Linked DNA regions of Caenorhabditis elegans. The protein of the gene in region 4 purifies or fractionates together with the protein of the main gene of each other region. This does not show direct contact. Each region holds a gene or a part of one and is shown on either strand. Other genes may lie near its edges. The genes, in order: rsp-3, Y48A6B.3, garr-1 and smg-6.

The links.
Region 1: the proteins of smg-6 (region 4) and rsp-3 fractionate together in Caenorhabditis elegans (co-fractionation; one large-scale study listed by BioGRID). This does not show direct contact.
Region 2: the proteins of smg-6 (region 4) and Y48A6B.3 fractionate together in Caenorhabditis elegans (co-fractionation; one large-scale study listed by BioGRID). This does not show direct contact.
Region 3: the proteins of smg-6 (region 4) and garr-1 fractionate together in Caenorhabditis elegans (co-fractionation; one large-scale study listed by BioGRID). This does not show direct contact.

What each region holds. Positions count from the first base shown.
Region 1 is NC_003281.10:12,686,201-12,690,507, forward strand, and holds rsp-3 (putative splicing factor, arginine/serine-rich 3), read right to left. Parts: upstream 1,717-4,307; 5' UTR 1,707-1,716; coding exon 1,537-1,706; intron 1,490-1,536; coding exon 1,102-1,489; intron 1,036-1,101; coding exon 817-1,035; 3' UTR 501-816; downstream 1-500. Other genes in the region: spin-4 (Major facilitator superfamily (MFS) profile domain-containing protein), read left to right, coding at 2,127-2,166, 2,222-2,376, 2,429-2,569, 3,634-3,992. UniProt on the Caenorhabditis elegans protein: Plays an essential role in embryogenesis.
Region 2 is NC_003281.10:11,006,175-11,010,104, reverse strand, and holds Y48A6B.3 (Putative H/ACA ribonucleoprotein complex subunit 2-like protein), read right to left. Parts: upstream 1,884-3,930; 5' UTR 1,875-1,883; coding exon 1,761-1,874; intron 1,711-1,760; coding exon 1,551-1,710; intron 1,506-1,550; coding exon 1,288-1,505; 3' UTR 1,176-1,287; downstream 1-1,175. Other genes in the region: exos-1 (Exosome complex component CSL4 homolog), read right to left, coding at 586-688, 736-854, 911-1,054; fipr-17 (FIP (Fungus-Induced Protein) Related), read left to right, coding at 2,503-2,646. UniProt on the Caenorhabditis elegans protein: Required for ribosome biogenesis. Part of a complex which catalyzes pseudouridylation of rRNA. This involves the isomerization of uridine such that the ribose is subsequently attached to C5, instead of the normal N1.
Region 3 is NC_003282.8:424,645-428,728, forward strand, and holds garr-1 (putative H/ACA ribonucleoprotein complex subunit 1-like protein), read left to right. Parts: upstream 1-1,523; 5' UTR 1,524-1,525; coding exon 1,526-1,858; intron 1,859-1,906; coding exon 1,907-2,308; 3' UTR 2,309-2,560; downstream 2,561-4,084. Other genes in the region: Phosphatidylinositol 3,4,5-trisphosphate 3-phosphatase and dual-specificity protein phosphatase daf-18, read right to left, coding at 1-243, 294-504; Y66H1A.5 (Saposin B-type domain-containing protein), read right to left, coding at 3,607-3,830, 3,878-4,067. UniProt on the Caenorhabditis elegans protein: Required for ribosome biogenesis. Part of a complex which catalyzes pseudouridylation of rRNA. This involves the isomerization of uridine such that the ribose is subsequently attached to C5, instead of the normal N1.
Region 4 is NC_003281.10:2,471,997-2,477,648, forward strand, and holds the start of smg-6 (PIN domain-containing protein), read left to right. Parts: upstream 1-1,871; 5' UTR 1,872-1,884; coding exon 1,885-2,244; intron 2,245-3,345; coding exon 3,346-3,501; intron 3,502-4,113; coding exon 4,114-4,930; intron 4,931-5,608; coding exon 5,609-5,652.

The DNA.
Region 1 (4,307 bases), about 10 Mb from region 4:
TTTCTGTTTTCAATAATAATTTAAAAAAGTAAAAACACAAGTCAAAAATTCAAAATTTTTATTCGAAATTCCAAGTCGAAACTCACCTGGCTGATTCATTTTTGTGAGCCGGGAAGCGGGTCACCGGCTCACCTGAACATGGCGGATTAGTTTTTTCTCATATTCGAGGGGATTTTCCTAATAGATTTCGGGGTTTTCGAACCCAAAACTGTAAAATTTTTCCTTCTTTTTACTCTCGTCAGGTCAAAATTTAACTAAATTATGTTCCTAACAATACCCAGGGGGCAAATCCAAAACTTTTCCCATAAAATCCTTTTTCCGGGGGTCCTAGTGTGTGTGTGTGTGTGTGTGTGTCGATTCGAAAATCGTGTAAAAACCGATTCGATCCTCGATCGATATGGTGTGTCCCCGCTTTTGATCGTCCAGCGATCCTTTAGTTTCCCTCCTTATAGAGTCCTCCTCCTTTCCTCCAATAGTTTGAATGAAGCGGAGTGGAGGCTGAAACAAAACATTTTATTCGTGGTTCCTCCAACAAAAGAAATTATTGAATAATAATAGGTGGGGCTGATGAATACTTGGATGTGGTTGTTTGAATTAAGGATAGGTGATAAAAAATAGAAGAAATTGTGGATATATATATCCAAAAAGATCGATAAAAAGAAAAAGGTGTGTGTAAACAGGAGAACATGAGGCATGGAATTGTATTAGAAACAGCACAAAAAAAAAGAAATTAGCAAGATATAGTTGTATCAGAACTCTCTGTCAGACGACTCAAATTGCAAAACGATACCGTTTCAAGAATCAGACGCTGTCTCTTTATTGTGGAGATGGTGAGCGAGATGGACTGCGACTGGCCGAGCGAGAACGAGAGCGGGAACGGCTGCGAGAGCGGGAACGAGAACGACGAGGTGAGTACTTTGGCGAAGCACGACGTTCGGCTCTTGGAGAGCGCGAACGGCTACGATCACGGCCACCACCACCGCTTCCGCCTCCAGAAGAGTTGTCCTCACGAACGCGAATGTAGGCAGTTTCACCCTGAAAAAGAAAAATTTAATTCAATTTTTGATTTATTTTATAGTTTCAAAAATAGTAAAAACTCACCTCATGTGATCTGAACTTGGTGTCATCAAGCTTGCGAACAGCGTACTTGACATCCTCGTAACGAGTAAACTCGACGACTCCAGTTCCATCTCGAGCCACATCCGCATAGCAGACGTCTCCAGCATCACGCATATGATCCTTAAGATCCTGCCACGACCCGGTTGGTGGAAGACCTTCAACGATCACTCGGTATCCGGTTCTTCTCTGAGGTCCACCTCCACGACCACCACCACGTCCTCCTCGGAAGTCTCCACCGCGGTGATCACCTCCGTCTTGGAGTGGGCGACCGCCTGGGCCACGTGGTCCGACTCCACGAGTGAACTCGACGCGAATGCGACGGCCATCGAATTCGTAGCCATCGCGAGCACGAACCGCATCCTCGGCATCTCTGGAATAAAATTGATTAATTAAAGTATTTGAAATCAATAAACGAACCTGTGATCTTCGAACTCGACGAAAGCGAACGCCGGTCCACGTCCTGACTTGATATCGACGTACTTGATGCGGCCATACTTGTGGAAAATGTCCTCGACTTCCTTCTCTCGGACGTCTCCTGGCAGGTTGCCAACGTAGACTTTTTGGTCCTCTGAGCCGCCGCGTGGCATGTTTAGTACACTGAAAATGAAGAAATAATTATGATTATTTGCAAAAAATCGGCGACTGAAGATTATTGATAATAAAAAAAATACTGGGCCTAAAATCCTTCAAATTACTGCATTTACTTGACTGAAAAGAAACCCAGAATCGAGTAAAATTTAGAAAAATGAATATTCTCAAGCATTTCTTCGAAAAAATAATAAAAATTGTCTGAAAAAACAAGAAATGAGTGTGCCACGGCCTTCGTTTTCGAAAAAATAACGACCGCGACGCGACCGCAACGCGTCATATGAGCATTCTCCCGCCAAGTTTGAACGAGTTCGGTGGAGCGCGCCTGCGTTATTTTTAGTCACGTATTTTTTTATTTTTTGTGGTTTTCGGTTTTTTATTAGAAAATAAGAAAAAATAATAAATTTCAGAAATTCTAAATGCCAAATGAAATTGAGGAAGGCAGTGGTTTGGACGTTGGTGAGTTTTTAATCGAAAATTTAATTATTTAAATCGAAAAACTTGATTTTTTCAGCCTCCCGACTTGCTGGAAAGAAGAAATGGGTTACTTGTTCCATTCTGCTTCTCGTAAACCTGCTAAACTACATGGATCGATACACAATCGTGGGAGTTATGTCGCGGCTTGCAACATTTTTCGATATCGACGATAAGGGGCAAGGCCTTTTGCAAGTAAAAATTGAATAAAATTGTGGAATATTAATTAAAAACCGAATAATTTCAGACAGTTTTCATTGTGTTCTACATGTTTTTCGCGCCATTATTCGGATATTTGGGTGATCGATACAATCGAAAAATGCTAATGATCACTGGAATTTGCATATGGATTTTAGCAGTCTTTGCATCGTCTTTTTGTGGGGAAGGGGTAAGGGAAAAGGGAAAAAAACGATAATAGAAAGGAAATAATGTTGGAATAAATTACTAAGACAGTCTGAGCCCACTTCCAGTGGTAGATCAAAAGGCGGAGCCAAAAACGCGGGAAAATCGCGGTCTGGAGGTCAATGAGCCCGATGGGAAGGCTCTAGAGGTCAATCCAATAATGGAATAATGACACCGAGAAGAGAGAAGATAAAAAATGACGTTTATAACGCTTTTTTTGGCAATTTTTGCAAAAATCATGCGAAAAATGCTATTTTGTGGCAAATTTTCACTGGAAATACACAAATTCTGAATATTTTGCCGCGAAAATCGAATAAAAAGAGAAAAAAAAGAATATTTTTGTAAAAAAATTCCTATAAAAAGCGGAAAAATTACCAAAATTCTAAGATATTTTTTGGAATATCAAAAAAAAAAGTGCTTCAAAATTTTGAAGAAAAAAAATTTAAATCTGAGTTTTTTGGGGCAATTAATGCATTTTTCACCAAAAAAAGAACACAAATTTGGATTTTTGTGAAAAATATTCTTTAAAAAAGCGGAAAATGTCCAAAATTCTGAGAAAAAACTAAAAAAAAAAAAAAAAATTTTTTTGCAATTTTTTTGAAAAATCCCTCAAGTGAATAATGCGTTTTTTCTCCAAAAAATTGATTTTTGTGAAAAATATTCTTAAAAAAGCGGAAAATGTCCAAAAATCAGAAAAAATGGAGTTTTTTTTTCAATTTTTTTGAAAAATCCAAAAAATACTGATTTCCGGCCATTTAAGATAGGGCTTCCAGGTAGGCGTTGAAACGCCTGCCTGCCTGACCTCAAGGTGACCTTCGCCTGCCTCAATCTGCGCCTTATGCTCTTTGATTTCACGCAGGCCCTGAGCCATAATTTTAGCTTTAAAAAACCTGAAAAAAATGGAAAAAAAAACATGCAAAAGGCGATAATTGAGAAACTTTTTCAATGAAAAATGGGCAAAAAATGGTGATTTTTGGGACAATTTTTCGTGAATAATGCGTTTTTTTACCCTAAAAAATTGATTTTTTTTTAATTTTTAAATAATTTTAGCACTACTACCTGTTTCTCCTGTGCCGCGGAATTGTTGGAATCGGAGAAGCCTCGTACTCCACAATCGCTCCAACCGTCCTATCAGACCTATTCAGTGGTGGCCTCAGAAGTCGAGTACTGATGATGTTCTATTTTGCAATTCCAGTTGGAAGTGGTCTCGGATTCATTTCTGGGTCAAGTATTTCACAGGCAACAGATTCATGGCAATGGGGTGTTCGATTTTCTCCGATTATTGGAATAGCTTGTCTTGGATTGATGTTATGGTTGTTGGATGAACCAGTGAGGGGAGCTTGTGATGGAGCACGGCAGAATGGAGATGAAGCTGATTTGATTGGCGATATTAAGTACTTGATGTCCATGTTAGTGTGCTTATTATCAGAATTTTTTTTGATTAAAAAAATCGGAAAAATTGAAGAAAAAAAATGCGTTGCTGCGGAATTTTTTAAAGTGTAAATTTATTTAAAAGTTCAAAAATAGTGTGATTTTTAAGTTTTTGGGACTATTTTTTCGACATTTTCGAGCAACAAAAATTCATTTTTAATTTAAAAAAATGCGTCTCTATATTTTTATTTTTTTTAATTCGAAAATTTGAGATTAAAAAATTTATATTTAAATGATCTAATAGTTTTTTTTACTAACAATTTAAAAGTGGTGTAGTTGGATATTTTTAAAAA
Region 2 (3,930 bases), 8.5 Mb from region 4:
GCAACCCTCCGGCACGGTTTTTCCACCTTTTTGCCAGTTTTCTACTGCATTTTTTATTGATTTTTTAAAATTTCACTTCTTAGTTAGTAAAATCTAAACTTCATTGAAAAAAATCAACAAAAATCAGTGTAAAACATGCGAAAAAGGAAGGAAACCCCGTGCCGCAGGGTTGCGAATTTAAGCTCCGCCTCTTTTTCTGTGCGATACACTACTTGGGTTCTCAGTTTGGGTCTCGCCACGATTTCGGCCCATATCTAATGTTTAAAAAAAAATTTTGCTCGAAAATCGCTTTAAAATAAGAAAAAAGAGGGAAATTTGTTTTTTGAGTAAAAAACCGAGAATTTCAGTTGAAATTTAGTGAAAATCAGTCTAAAATCAATGTTTTTCCGATGTTTCCACAAGAAATCAGGAATTTTGACGACTTTTCTGCAAAAAACCTTAAAATCGGCCATTTTTATGCGAAATTTCATAAGAATTTTCGCAAAAAAACCTAATTTTCTGCTAAAAAAAAGGTTTTTCCCACATTTGTAAGCAGAAATTCTTAATTTTTTCGTGGCGAGACCCACAATCCAGGCAAAATCCAACCAATTCAGGTTCCAGCGGCCTCAGCTTCTTTTTCGGCAGCAGCGCCGAGAACCGCTTCTTGTAAACCTTATCGCCGATACTGATGATGTCACATTTGGCGAATCTGCAATATTTTCTGTCGGTTTTCAGAGCAACGAAAAGCTGCTCTACCGTAATCCGACAGCCATCACTTTGGCGGTGACGATGGCTCCGTGGAATGGGAGAAGCTCATTGTCGAGCTGATCTTCGCTGCGGCGAACTTCGATCACTTGCACCAGGTTGTCGGATTTCTGCAGAAAAAACGGAAATTTTCGGGCTCCACGCTTGCGATTTGTGCGAAAATTACATCTCTGAATCCATAAACGTTGACAAAACCGGCTACCGACGCGAAGATCCTTCGATTCGCCTCGTATAATCCCTTCCCCATTCGATATTCACCAATCGCGTCGAGAACCTTGTCGCCGGGCGCCACAAGCGTTTCGGCGAGCATTTTCTGAGCTGAAAGTGGTTTAGAACGGGATTTGCTGTGATTTAGATTGATTTCGAGTAACAAAATTGAGTTTTGGAAATTACCGAGAAAGGATTAAAGAATAAAAAGAAAAAGTCTGTAGATAACAACAATTTAATGAGTGAACAATTGTGGATAAAGATGGTGATACAGATCAAGAAATTTTAAAAAATCAACAACAAAAAAAAAACAGTGAAAACCAGAGAAAAAACAATTTAGGCGGCCTCGACGGTGAGATGACGGAGAGCCTCGGCGACCTCGTCGTACAGCTCCTTGAAGTCCCCACTCGGCTTGACGAAGATCAGAATCGACGGGCGACGATGTCCGACGGCGAGTCCGAGCTGCTCACGAGATGGAATGTAGACGTATGGGATCTCCTTCTCCTCGCAGATTCCCGGAATATGTGAGTACACATCGATTGGAGAGACGTTTCCTGAAAAATTGAACGTTTTAAGGGAAAAATAGATTAAAATCCTACCAGCAAGAATGCAGATTCCCTTCTCGTTTCTGCGGAGCTCCTTCTGCACGTCCTTGATGCCCTCACGGAGGGTTTTATCGCCGGCGGAGGCCTTCTTGATGAGCTTGTACACCTTCTTGGCCAACTTGCGGTTTGCTAGTGGCTGAGCGATTGGGTTTACCTGAAAATAAGACATTTTTCATTAAAAAACCAGCGAAATTAATGATTTACCAGCTCGCAAAGTGCCTGGTACTCGTCCTTCTCGGTGGTTGGTGCGGTGGCGTCTCCATTGGCTTCTGATACGGTCGACTCGTTCATTGTCTCGTCCAGATTGCGCTTGCCCATTTTTTGATTCTGAAAATTCATAAGTTAATCGTGTAAATTAGCCGCAAAGTTCAATTAGCTTTAGGAAAAGAAAAACAATGAAAATGGGATTTTTGCAACAAAAAATCGATAAAAATCCTATTATGGGTGATTACATAGGAATTTTACGATATTTCATGGCTTAAAATTGATAAATATTATATTTCCGAATTTTAAAATTTAATTTTATCGAAAAAAATCGGAGAAAACCCGCAGAAAACTTCGAAAAATACAATAATTATGTGAAAATGCGTCAAAAGAGAAAAAAGAGAAATCGAATCGAAATGTGCAGTGGAGCGCGTTCGCCCACATCCCAGAGAGTGGAGACGCAGACAATTCGTTGGCGGGAATTCAAATTAGAGATTTTCAGGGAAATTCGTTTTGTTGAATTTTCAACTGTTCCTGACTCCGATTTTTGCAAGTTTTGCAGCCTCTCCGCTTCCCCGAAACGCTCAAACTTCAATTTTTACGAGTTATCATCAAAATCGCAACTAAAATATAACAATTTTATGTCCCCGAACCCCCCACCCGCCCCCTACACGGTACTATAAAAGCCAACTTCTTCCAGAATTCAAGCATCAGAAGCATCTTCTTCTTCTTCATCATCATCATGAACGTCTACTCTGTCTGCGTCTTCGCCATCTTGGCTATTTCTTCAGTTTCTGGAATCTTCTTGCCACAAGGAGGAAAGAAGTGCGGAGGAAGCAGTGGATACGGAAGCGGAGTCATCATCGGTGCACCACGTCCACAATAATTTTTGTGCAGTTTCTGTTGATTACTGATAAATATTGAACATTCAAACTCTGTTTTTTGGGCTTATAATCTTGTTAATCGCGCCGCAGGCCTTTCAGTTTTTAGGGCTTAGGCTTAGGCTTAGACTGAGGCTTAGGCCTAGGCTAATTCCTAGGCTTAGGCTTAGATGGAAAATCTATGACCTAATAAAATGGGACTTTGAAGTAGAAAGTTTGAAAAAAAAAAATCCCAAATTGGAGTTAATCTACGGGACTCTAAAGAAGTGCGAGACAAAATTAAAAAATTTCAAATTTATTTTTCTAGTCCAAAATGCTCCTACATATTGAGCAGTTTTCTGTTAGGTAGTTGAGGCTAGGTAGGCAGGCACGGTTTCAGGGCCTCACGAGAGGCAGGCGGAGGCCGCCTTAAGGTCAGGCAGGCAGGCGTTTTGGAACCCCTAACATTAACAATTCGACTTGCGTTGTATGATTTGAGTGTATTTGCAAACTTATATTTTCCGTGCAAATGATCACAAGGTTTTTAAGCATCGAAGCATACATCTTTGATGCTCCCGCTCCCGGAACTAACTTTATCGATGTGGGTGGAATAAAAGCCTTCCGATCACAAACCTTTTCCTCACTTCGGTTCTTCAAATGAACATTTATTGCGTTTTAGTGTTTGCTGTACTCTCCATCTTGTCGGTTGTTGGAAAACCTCGAGCTAACCATATTCGACCTGCCTCAGACCGACATATCATCATGGGATTCGACCTACCATCCAAGTTTGGATAATTCAAACTGAAGCAATTAATTTATGAATAAAAGTTGAACATTGTCTTGAAAATCTTGTTATGAAATTTGGGATAATCTGGTAATTTAGAACCATATGATTTTCCAGCACTTTTGAATTTTTGAAAAATACAGCTTTTATATATTTCTATCAATTTTTTAAAATACTTGCGGACAAGCTAGTATACTTTTTTTGGTATTTTCTGGTATATTTGGCAATGCTAAACAGTTTTATAAAATAAAAAAGAAGCGCTTCATATGATTTTATAGTACTTTTGAATTTTTGAAAAATACAGCATTTACATTGACATACCAAAAAATAGATTGACATACCAAAAAATAGATTGACATACCAAAAAATAGATTGACATACCAAAAAATAGATTGGCATACCAAAAAATAGATTGGCATACCAAAAAATAGATTGGCATACCAAAAAATAGATTGACATACCAAAAAATAGATTGGCATACCAAAAAATAGATTGGCATACCAAAAAATAGATTGACATACCAAAA
Region 3 (4,084 bases), on a different chromosome or scaffold from region 4:
CTCTGCAAAACGGAGCCATTAATTCGAGACTCGGCGGATGATGATCAGTCATATCGAAGCAAATAACATTTCCATCGAAGTTATCCGCATCGTAGTAGTATCCACCGCGCAGGTTAAACACCTTCACGTTGCCCTTTCCGTGCCGCCTGGTCAGAAATTGTTGAGTTTGAACTTTTGAGTTACGGAAATTCGCTTCGATTCCTGTTGCTGGATAACCGATAGCTATGATTCGGTCTGTGATATCTGAAAGTTTTGAAAATTGAAATGCTTTGAACTCAAGAGAAGTGCCTTACATGCACAATCTAGGTCGATATTTTGGTACTCGGTGCGACAACGATTGGAAGATACAGCCGTCCGAAAAATATGGCGAATCCGCTCGACGATTGAATTGTGATACGGTTCAGACACACGTGGTTCACCAGGTTGTCGGTTTGGATTCTCTTGAAGGTCACGAGCCATCGACCTGGTCGATGTGCTTGGCACATCTGGAGGAGGAGTAACCATTGGGGGTTAGTAGATGTACCTGGAAACTGCAAATTCATGAAGAGGAACGAATTAGAAGAGAATTTCAGCGAATTTTATAATTTAAACATTGTCAGGTGAAGTGTGATAGAATAGAATGCCAAATGAGCGCAAAGGATTAAGGGATTAACTAGCTCATGCTAAAGCTCAGATTTGTTCACGCAGAGAGCTCAGACCCGAGAGATACGAGAGGAGCAGAAAGACAGACTACATTTCCTCGTTAAGAATGAGCTGAAAAAGAGCTAGAAATCCGTTGAAAATCGCCAATATGCGTATTTTCGACTTAAAAAAAACAAGACTGATTTATTAGAAAATAATACCCGCCAGCGCCAATAGTAGAAGATCATATGAAATCATTTGATCAAAAAAGCAAAATTTTGGTCTACTGATTTATGAGCATTTTCAACCAAGAAATAGGAAGATTTCGGATATTTTTATAACCTACGTGTGGAAAATGTTTATTTGTATTGAAAAATCAAGAAAAAATGAATAAAAATTGTCGAAAAAGCAGATAAACACCGAAAAAGATCGGTTTCGCGGCGAAAAAACAAAATCCAAAAAATGTCTCTTAAAGGCGCACGCTAATTCAAACGGCACGGGTCTCGCCACGAACGCCTCTCTTCTCACTGCATTTTTCTCTTCTCTTCGATTTTTTTTTCGATATTTTTTAACGTTTTCCAATAGTTTTTATTGATTTTCTTGTTTAAAAACTGGCAAAAAACGAAATAATCGTTATTTATAAGTTGTATTTAGAGTCTAAAGTTTGTATAGTGCGATGAAATTCTTCGAAATAGGCGAAAATCAATTTCTTGTGATTTTCTTAATTTTCTCATATTTAGAAAATTGAAATTTCTGTGAATATTATGTACAAGAAAACCCCTTTTTGTTTTGCAATACCAATTTTTTCTATTGAATTTCTCAACAAATATATTTTTATGTCCAGTTTGATTTTATTTTGCACTTGAATAACTTTAAAGTTCAAAAATTGTTTGACATTTCAGAAATGAGTTTCCGTGGTGGACGTGGAGGCGGTGGTGGATTTCGAGGTGGTCGTGGTGGCGGTGGAGGCGGTGGATTCCGTGGAGGTCGCGGCGGTGACAGAGGTGGTGGCTTCCGTGGAGGACGCGGTGGATTCGGAGGGGGCGGCCGTGGAGGTTACGATCAGGGACCACCAGAGGAAGTTGTGCTCGTCGGTGTCTTCTCCCATCAGTGCCAAGATGATATTGTTTGCAACAATACGAGTGGAAAAATCCCATATTTCAATGCTCCAATTTACTTCAAGAATAAGGAACAAGTCGGAAAAATCGACGAGATTTTTGGATCCCCCGGGGAGAACGTAAGTAATCTCTTAATTGAAAATTAATCATAAATTTATTCGCTGCAGGGATTCTCCGTCACATTGTCACAAGGAGTAAAAGCCTCTTCATTCGAACCAGAGTCTCAGCTGTACATTGATCCCGGAAAGCTTTTACCAGTTGATCGTTTCCTTCCACAAGCCGGCGGAGGGCGTGGAAGAGGTGGTCGCGGACGCGGTGGGGATCGTGGAGGACGTGGCAGTGACCGTGGAGGTCGTGGAGGCTTTGGAAGAGGCGGCGGCGGTGGATTCAGAGGCGGGGATCGCGGAGGTTTTGGCGGTGGTCGTGGAGGATTCCGAGGCGGAGACCGTGGAGGGTTCCGTGGTGGCCGTGGAGGAGACTTCGGAGGTCGCGGACGTGGAGACTTCAAACGATCATACGATGGTGGAAGTTTCGGAGGACAGAATAATAAGAGAACTAAATTCGAATAATTGTTTCTTCTCTAAAAAACTGTATGTTCCAATTGTTTTCATCCTTTTTTTTTACCAATTGTTGATTTTCTTTGTTTTCCTTTTCTCATCTGCCCTCATTTTTTGATCACTTTTTTGTTGAACTTGTTGGTATTTTATACACATTATAATAATCATATAATTTAGTTATTTTATTTCACTAATCACACAGCGCTCTGAGGCAAGCATTTTTGGCGAATAAAATTTGGAGTTCGCATTTAAGCGCGCTTTGATATATCGTTCTTATAACATTTTTTAATCGCCGCAACCAAGTTCCAGCCATTAATTTGACAGATTACACTGGAAAATTATATATTTAGCTTGAGAACAAAATCTAGAAAGTAGTAAAGTAGCAATTAGCAATTGAAATTTTGCAATACAGGTTAACTTTTGAAATTTGAAATTTTAACAGAATAGAGCTCTCAATCAAAACGGCTGAAGATAAAAATAATTCTGAGCGATTTTCATTGTTCTAATCTCAGCAGTGTACATACTGTACCACGCCACAAAAGGCGGGGCCTAAATATGAGGTTTTCTGCAGTACACGCCACGCAGTTTTCTTATTTTGAGTGTATTGCGCAACATACTTGACGCGCAAAATATCTCGTAGCCAAAACTACAGTAACTCTTAGAAGGACTACTGCAGTAGCTACTGTAGCTTTTGTGTCGATTTACGGGCTCAATTTATTATGGTGCGTCCATAGTCTGCGGAAAACGAAAATTTCCCGCGACCCGAGGCGTCCATAGTATGCGGAAAAATTGAGCGAGTTTCTCGCTTCGTTATTGGTCAATTTCAAAAGTGGCCGTGCCCAACCAATTAGAGGCTGTAAAATTTTGAGCTGAACAATGGGAAAGTGGAAAAACTGCAGGCCACGCCTACTTTTTTGAATTTTGAGGAAAACAATGCGTGGAAACTCCGTTTTTTCCCTGCACTATAGACGCCTCGGACCGCGGGAAATTCCCGTTTTCCTGAGACTATGGACGCACCATTAAATGATTTAAAAAATTAATTGATCTACTTGTTCGATAATCAATGATAAATCAGCCAGATACTGAATTTTTTCAGTAAAATGTTCTTTAAAACTTTTTGAAAGTAACAATTATTTCAGTATTTTATTATTTCTTCCAAATTCCATCTAAAAAATTTGAACAATCGCGGAATTTTGTCCCATTCGGTAAGTGTGCAAGCGCGCTCTAACGCACTCTTTGAAGTTTCATTCTCCAAAAATCCTTGCCCCAGAGCGCTGTGTAAAATCTTTAGTTTAGTTATTTGAAATCCTTCATTGGCCTTTGCATTTCACGAAAAGTTGATCCAACGTTGGACATTGGAATCCCTGCACAGCAATGAGGTCATAGAATCCACCAAGAGAGTCCTGAAGACCTCGAATAATGGCTCCGAAGGTGTCCGGTTGGAAGAGCGCTTGACAAAGGTCATCATTAAAAAGGGGGCATGCCTCACCAAGCGCTGCCTTTACGGTTGCCAACATTGGATTCTCAAGAATGTCTGAATGGATAATATTTGGATTTCCAGAGAATAACAAACGATCTTACTATAGTTTATATACTTGAGAACATCGTAAACCAAGAAGCATAATGTGCATTGAGTATTGCTAACATCTTCACTGATCACCATGGCTTTGAAGTTGCTAGAACATTTCTCAACTGCAGTGGAGATCGCATTCCAGGATTTTTCAAAATTTTCAGGCGTTTTCTGGATTTCCGAATGTAACGTGAAAATGATCTGTAAACGTTTAGTAT
Region 4 (5,652 bases):
ACCCCCTCCCCCCTCGACGCACAATTGCGTACCCCACCCTCCTCTCAGCGTCTCCAGCCGTCATCCCTTTTCTCTGCCCAATTCATATCACACATTTTCTCTTTCTCTCTTCCCATTCACTCTTTTCTTTTCGTTCCCTGTTTTTTTGTTACAATGCACGTGTGTGTTTATACTGCTCTCTGAGGGAGAAAAAATCAGTAAATATATCATTTCTGTGAGGTCCGTTTTTTTTTAGTCCAAATAGGCTGTAGTAGGCTGAAAAAGCTTACTTTAATTACTATATTAATCGAAAAAGAACGTAAATTGACAACATTTATTGCTCAAATTTGAAAAATTGCTGCATTTTTGAGCATTGTAATTAATTACAACACACATATATATATATAATTTTAAAAAATGACGAAATTTAATTTTTGAGCAAAAAGAATTGTCAAATTTCGTTTTAGTAGTACTTTTGTACTTTTGTTTAAAATCCCAATTAGAAACGTTACTTTGAAAACTACCATATTCTTGAATTTTTTATTTCAAATTTCGGTTATAAACGCTATTTAATTCCCAATTTCCAATGAGCCTCTACTAGAGTCTTCCCCAATTAGAAATCGATACCGAAAATTCCATTGTTACCCCCCATGTACTTTCCCATGTCTCTATTTGATGGGTGGCTAATCAAACAATTACCCCTTCCCTCCCCCCACCCCGCCGACGTGTATGTTCTGTTTAGCTTAACAGAAGGTACCCGCTCCACCAGTGATAAGAATTGTTTCACTGTGTTGTATGTGTTTGCATTTCGGAACAGGAAAACGTTTGGTGGTGGGGGGACATAAAAGTTACATAAAACTTTTTTTTTGTTACTTTGCGAAAATCGAAATAAAAGTAGCGATCTTGTGATATCGGAGAAATTTAGGGTTTACTAGTATTCTTGGGAGGGAAAATCTCAAAAAATCCGAATTTCCAGACCCAAAAGGCCCTTAATTTATATAAAGTATGGTTTTCAGAACTTAATAGCTTGGTTTTAACTATTCATATTAGTTTCAGCCTAAAAATATGACATTTTTTAAAGTTTTAACCAAAAAGTTTCTCGTCGAACCTATGAGTTTTCCCACGTGGTGTGGTAGGTTGTAACGGTGTGATCTACAAAAATGCGGGAATTTTTTTCCCCAAAAAATGTGATGTCAGCACAGTGTTAACCATGCGAAATCAGTTGAGAAGTCTGCGGCTAAATTCGCGCATTTTTTGTAGATCTACGTAGATCAAACCGATATGGGGCATTCTGACATCACACCAATTTTCAGCTTTTTCCTGGATTTCTAGGTACAAAATTGAAGTTTTCAACGCTTTTTTGGAGATTCCCACGGATTTTTAGCTATTTTCAACGGCGGTTTTCGGTTTTCCAACACCCACAGCTTTAGAAAATGCAAAATCCCGTCTAAAATCTAGAGGAATGACGAATTTTTGCGAAAAAATCTGTTTATCCTCTGCTCATCCCCTCGTAAAGCCCGCTGTCAACACCTTTTCTTAATTAAATTTTTTTGCTCCAACTCCGTTCTCACGTGGTGCCAGGCTGTCCCATTACGGTTTGATCTACAAAAAAATGCGGTTTTTTTTGCCCAGAAAAATGTGAAACCATACAAAATCAGTTGAGAACTCTGCGCCTCTTCTCCCGCATTTTTTGTAGATCTACGTAGATCAAGCCGAAATGAGACACTTTGACACCGCGTGCTTTCTCTTCAATTATAGCTTTTTCTCCTGAACTTTTGCAGTTTTATAGCGTAGGTAGGCAGGCAGGTAGGCATGCCTGAATCTGTATTTTCCTTTTTTTGTATGTTACATGCTTCTCTTTTATGATATATCTCAAAATTCCAAATTTCCAGCTCACCAAGCAAAATGAACGGAGACACAGACGCCTCGTCATCTAGGACGGGAGCTCCACGAAAACCGCGCCCAGAAATTCAAATCTACCGTCCAGGAATGCTCCGCCAGGGAGGGAGCACGAAAAGCTTGAGCTCTACGAACGAAGAAGCACGACCACCACGCCCGGAGAAGTTGAACACAACAACGACGACGATGTCGGGCAATTCCAGACGAAGAAGCAACGATACGGACAGTGTGACGTCACGTGGTGGATCTGGAAGTACGACGCCCGATGCAAATGTGATTAATGCCATGAATGAGCGAGGTGGAGGAAGGAATCGATTTGAGAAAGGCTATCGACAACAACAGAGAACAGATGGGCCATCGAATTATGTAAGTTTTTATCTTATCGCTCAAAAACCAAAAGTTCTACCCTAACACTACAGAAAAAAACTGAAATTACCTAAAACCCTCAAAAAATTTTGGAAAAATTCATTATCTAGCACGGGGAAACGGTGTCAGAGTGCCTCATTTTGACGTGATCTTCGTGGATCTACAAAAAATGCGGGAGTTGAGACGCAGAGTTCTCAACTAATTTTGCATGGTTAAGAACGTGCTGGCGCCACATTTTTGGTAATAAAAATTCCCGTATTTTTCGTAGATCAAACCGTGATGGGACATCCTGACACCACCCTCAGCAAATTTTGAAAAACTAATATTTTAGCATGATAAAAGCCCCAAATTCAGCTGAAAATGTCTCAAAATACCTTAAAAGCACTAGAAAACGACTTGAATTAACGGAAAATCTTAAAATCTATGGCAAAACTGATATTTTTACGGGAAAAGCCAAAAATTTTCAGTAAATCTCTCGAAACCCAAAGTCTTCACTATGAAGTAGCTGAAATTGACTGAAAACCCTCAAAAATTGTTTAAAAACTCATTATTAGCACGAGAAAATACCTTAGTTGGCTGAAAATCCCCAAAAACGCCAAAAATCCAAATATTTAACTCTAAAGCCACTGTGGAACGGCTGAAGGTAACTCAAAATCCTCAAAATTTGAGAAATCACGTGGTATCAAGTTGCCCCATAACGGTTTGATCTACAAAAATGCGGGAATTTTTTGGCCAAAAAATGTGACGCCAGCACGTTCTTAACAATGCGAAATCAAATGAGAACTCTGCGTCTCTTTTCCCGCAATTTTTGTAGAACTACGTAGATCAAGCCAAAATTGGAGACTCTGACACCACGTGAGATCACGTATTTTGGCTCTGGAATTTAGCTGGAAAAGGTCTCAAATTCTCATGAAACCCGACTGAACCCAACTTCAAACTGGCTGAAAACTTATATTTTGTCTCGAAGACTCCAGGAAAAAAGCTAAGAATTGCTCAAGATTGAACTCAAATCCCCAGAACTAGACAAAAGTCTGAAATTGACTGAAAAGTTGCACACCCCTACAAATGTCCCAAATCCCACGAAAACCATTCCAATTCCAGAATTCCACACAATCCCTCTACGACACACGGCAACATGGTGGCTATATGGAGTACCAGGGCAACCACCGATCGAATCACCGGAATAATGGGAGATACAGTAACCAGCAGCATCAGCAGCATCGGCAACCGTTCGAACGACCCGGCGGAAATCATTATGTAGGTTATCAGGTTTTCTTAATGGAAGTGTCTGGGGGGGAGAAGGGGTGAATTAATTAGAATTAATGGGATGTGTGGGATGTGAAGTGATCAGTAAGGTATGATGGGAATATGGAAACTTTAGGAAAAAAGAAATTTTGGGGAAAAAGAGATAAATCGCTCAAATTCTAGTCTAAAACTGTAAAACTTAGTAGAAATTGTACCAAACAGCTGAGAAAAGCTTTAGAAATTAGCCCACTTCAAGAAAATTCACGTCTAGTACAGAAAGCTAGAGATTTTATCAATCTGGACAGTTTTCCATACAAATTCGAGGTTTTTACTGGTGAAAACTGTCAGAATTTGAGAAATTTGACAATCTGAACTTAGAATTACGTTTAATACCGCCTTAAGAAGGCATGATACCGTTTCGAATTGTAAAACTCTGAACAACCTTAGAAAATTGTCCGTTCTCGAAAAAAAACATAAATTTTTGCGGAAATCACCATTGAGTACGATAGTCAAGTACGCAAACACGACGCGCATTTACAAAATTGCGTATCAAATATTTTTTGAGCTAAAGCTTTTTTTGTTCAAACAACCAAACTTTTAAAGCTAAATCTTTTCAATTTCCAGACCCGCGGCTTCAACGAGCGAGCTTCCATGCGCGGGGACGGCGCCATCGCCCGACGTCCTCAAGGATCCCGTCGCCAACGCAACGATTCCATCAACTCTACCCAATCAGAAATGCCACCTCAAACCGGTGCTCAACTTCACATTGACACCTCATTCGACTCGGCATCTCAGTGTGGAGCCTCATCGAATTTCTCGATGAATTCCCTTGGCGAGGCGTTCAGTTTCGAGGAAATGTGCCAGAACCTGCAGAATTTCGCGTCGATGGATTGGAGTAAAGAGGTGGAAAATGAGTTTGCAATGCAGAAAGAGCAGGAGGAAGAGGAAGAGCGACGGATGGAGCAGAAGCTTCAAGAAGCTGCTGCTCAGGAAGCTCAGAAAGCGGCGTCTCCGAGGAGAAATAACCGAAGGAATAATCGAAGAGGTGGAGGCAACAGTCGGTACCATCCCGATGAATCCGACAGAGAAAGCTCGTTCGGTGGAAGTATCGCCGAGGAAAAAGAGGAAGAAGAAGCCGAGGAAGAGCTCAAAAGTGGTGAGAGAACTCCGACTTCTGTGCGAAGCGGCAACTCTTATAATCCACGTGTTCTGTACCAGAGAACACGTGGAGCCAACGACGAGAACCATCCGAAACGAAGAGACGCCGCCGTGGAGAAGAAGCCGAAAGAGCCGAGACGGTACCGCGGTGAGCATGACGATCGGGATGATGATGCTTCGGAGTATCATGGAACGCTGGAGAACCATATGTCGTCGGGACGTCTTGCTGGGAGAATTCAGATTGTGCAGCGCTCGCAGAATGGGACGGAAGCCGGGGGAAATCGTGAGTTTTTTTGGGAATTTTGGAAATTTTTCAGCCAGTTTCAGTGTAAAAAATAGAGGAATAATCACGGAAAAGCTGAAAAAATCGATAAAATTCTGCGTTTTATCAGTGGAACGCACTTGCATTGTCCTCTATTTTGAATGTCTTTTATTTATCGAAATAGTAGAATTTGGATAAAAATTCTGATTTTATCTACACAAGTGCGGTTTAGCACAAAAAATTGAATTTTTTTTAAATAAAAAGTGCAAACGCGCCCCACTGTGAAAAATCGATAATTTCAAGAAAAATTGAATTTTCTGCGATTTTTTCTGGAAATTTTTGAATTTTAAGCCTTGAATCCGGTTATTTTTTCTACTTCTTAACGAAAATTTCTGAAAAATCGGCAAATTTGTGATTTTTCATCTATTTTCGGAATAGTTTTTTGCGGGAAGTTGAGATTTTCGAATTTTTTTCCGACTTTTCGATCTTTCTTTGATTTCAAATCGGCTTATTTTAATATTCTTCTTCAAAAAGTGCTGAAAATTGACTGAAAACCGACTGAAACCCTTCTAGAACCCCTAAAAATGCAAGTGCGCCCCACCGCACCGCAACTTTTTGAGAGCGAAAATCGAATTTCGAACTGATTTTCTCCGTTTTTCGGCTCAATTTCTTATCAAATAATCAATATTTTTTGTTCAGGAAACCGCCAATCATCCGAAGAAAAGCCGAGAACCTACCAAAAG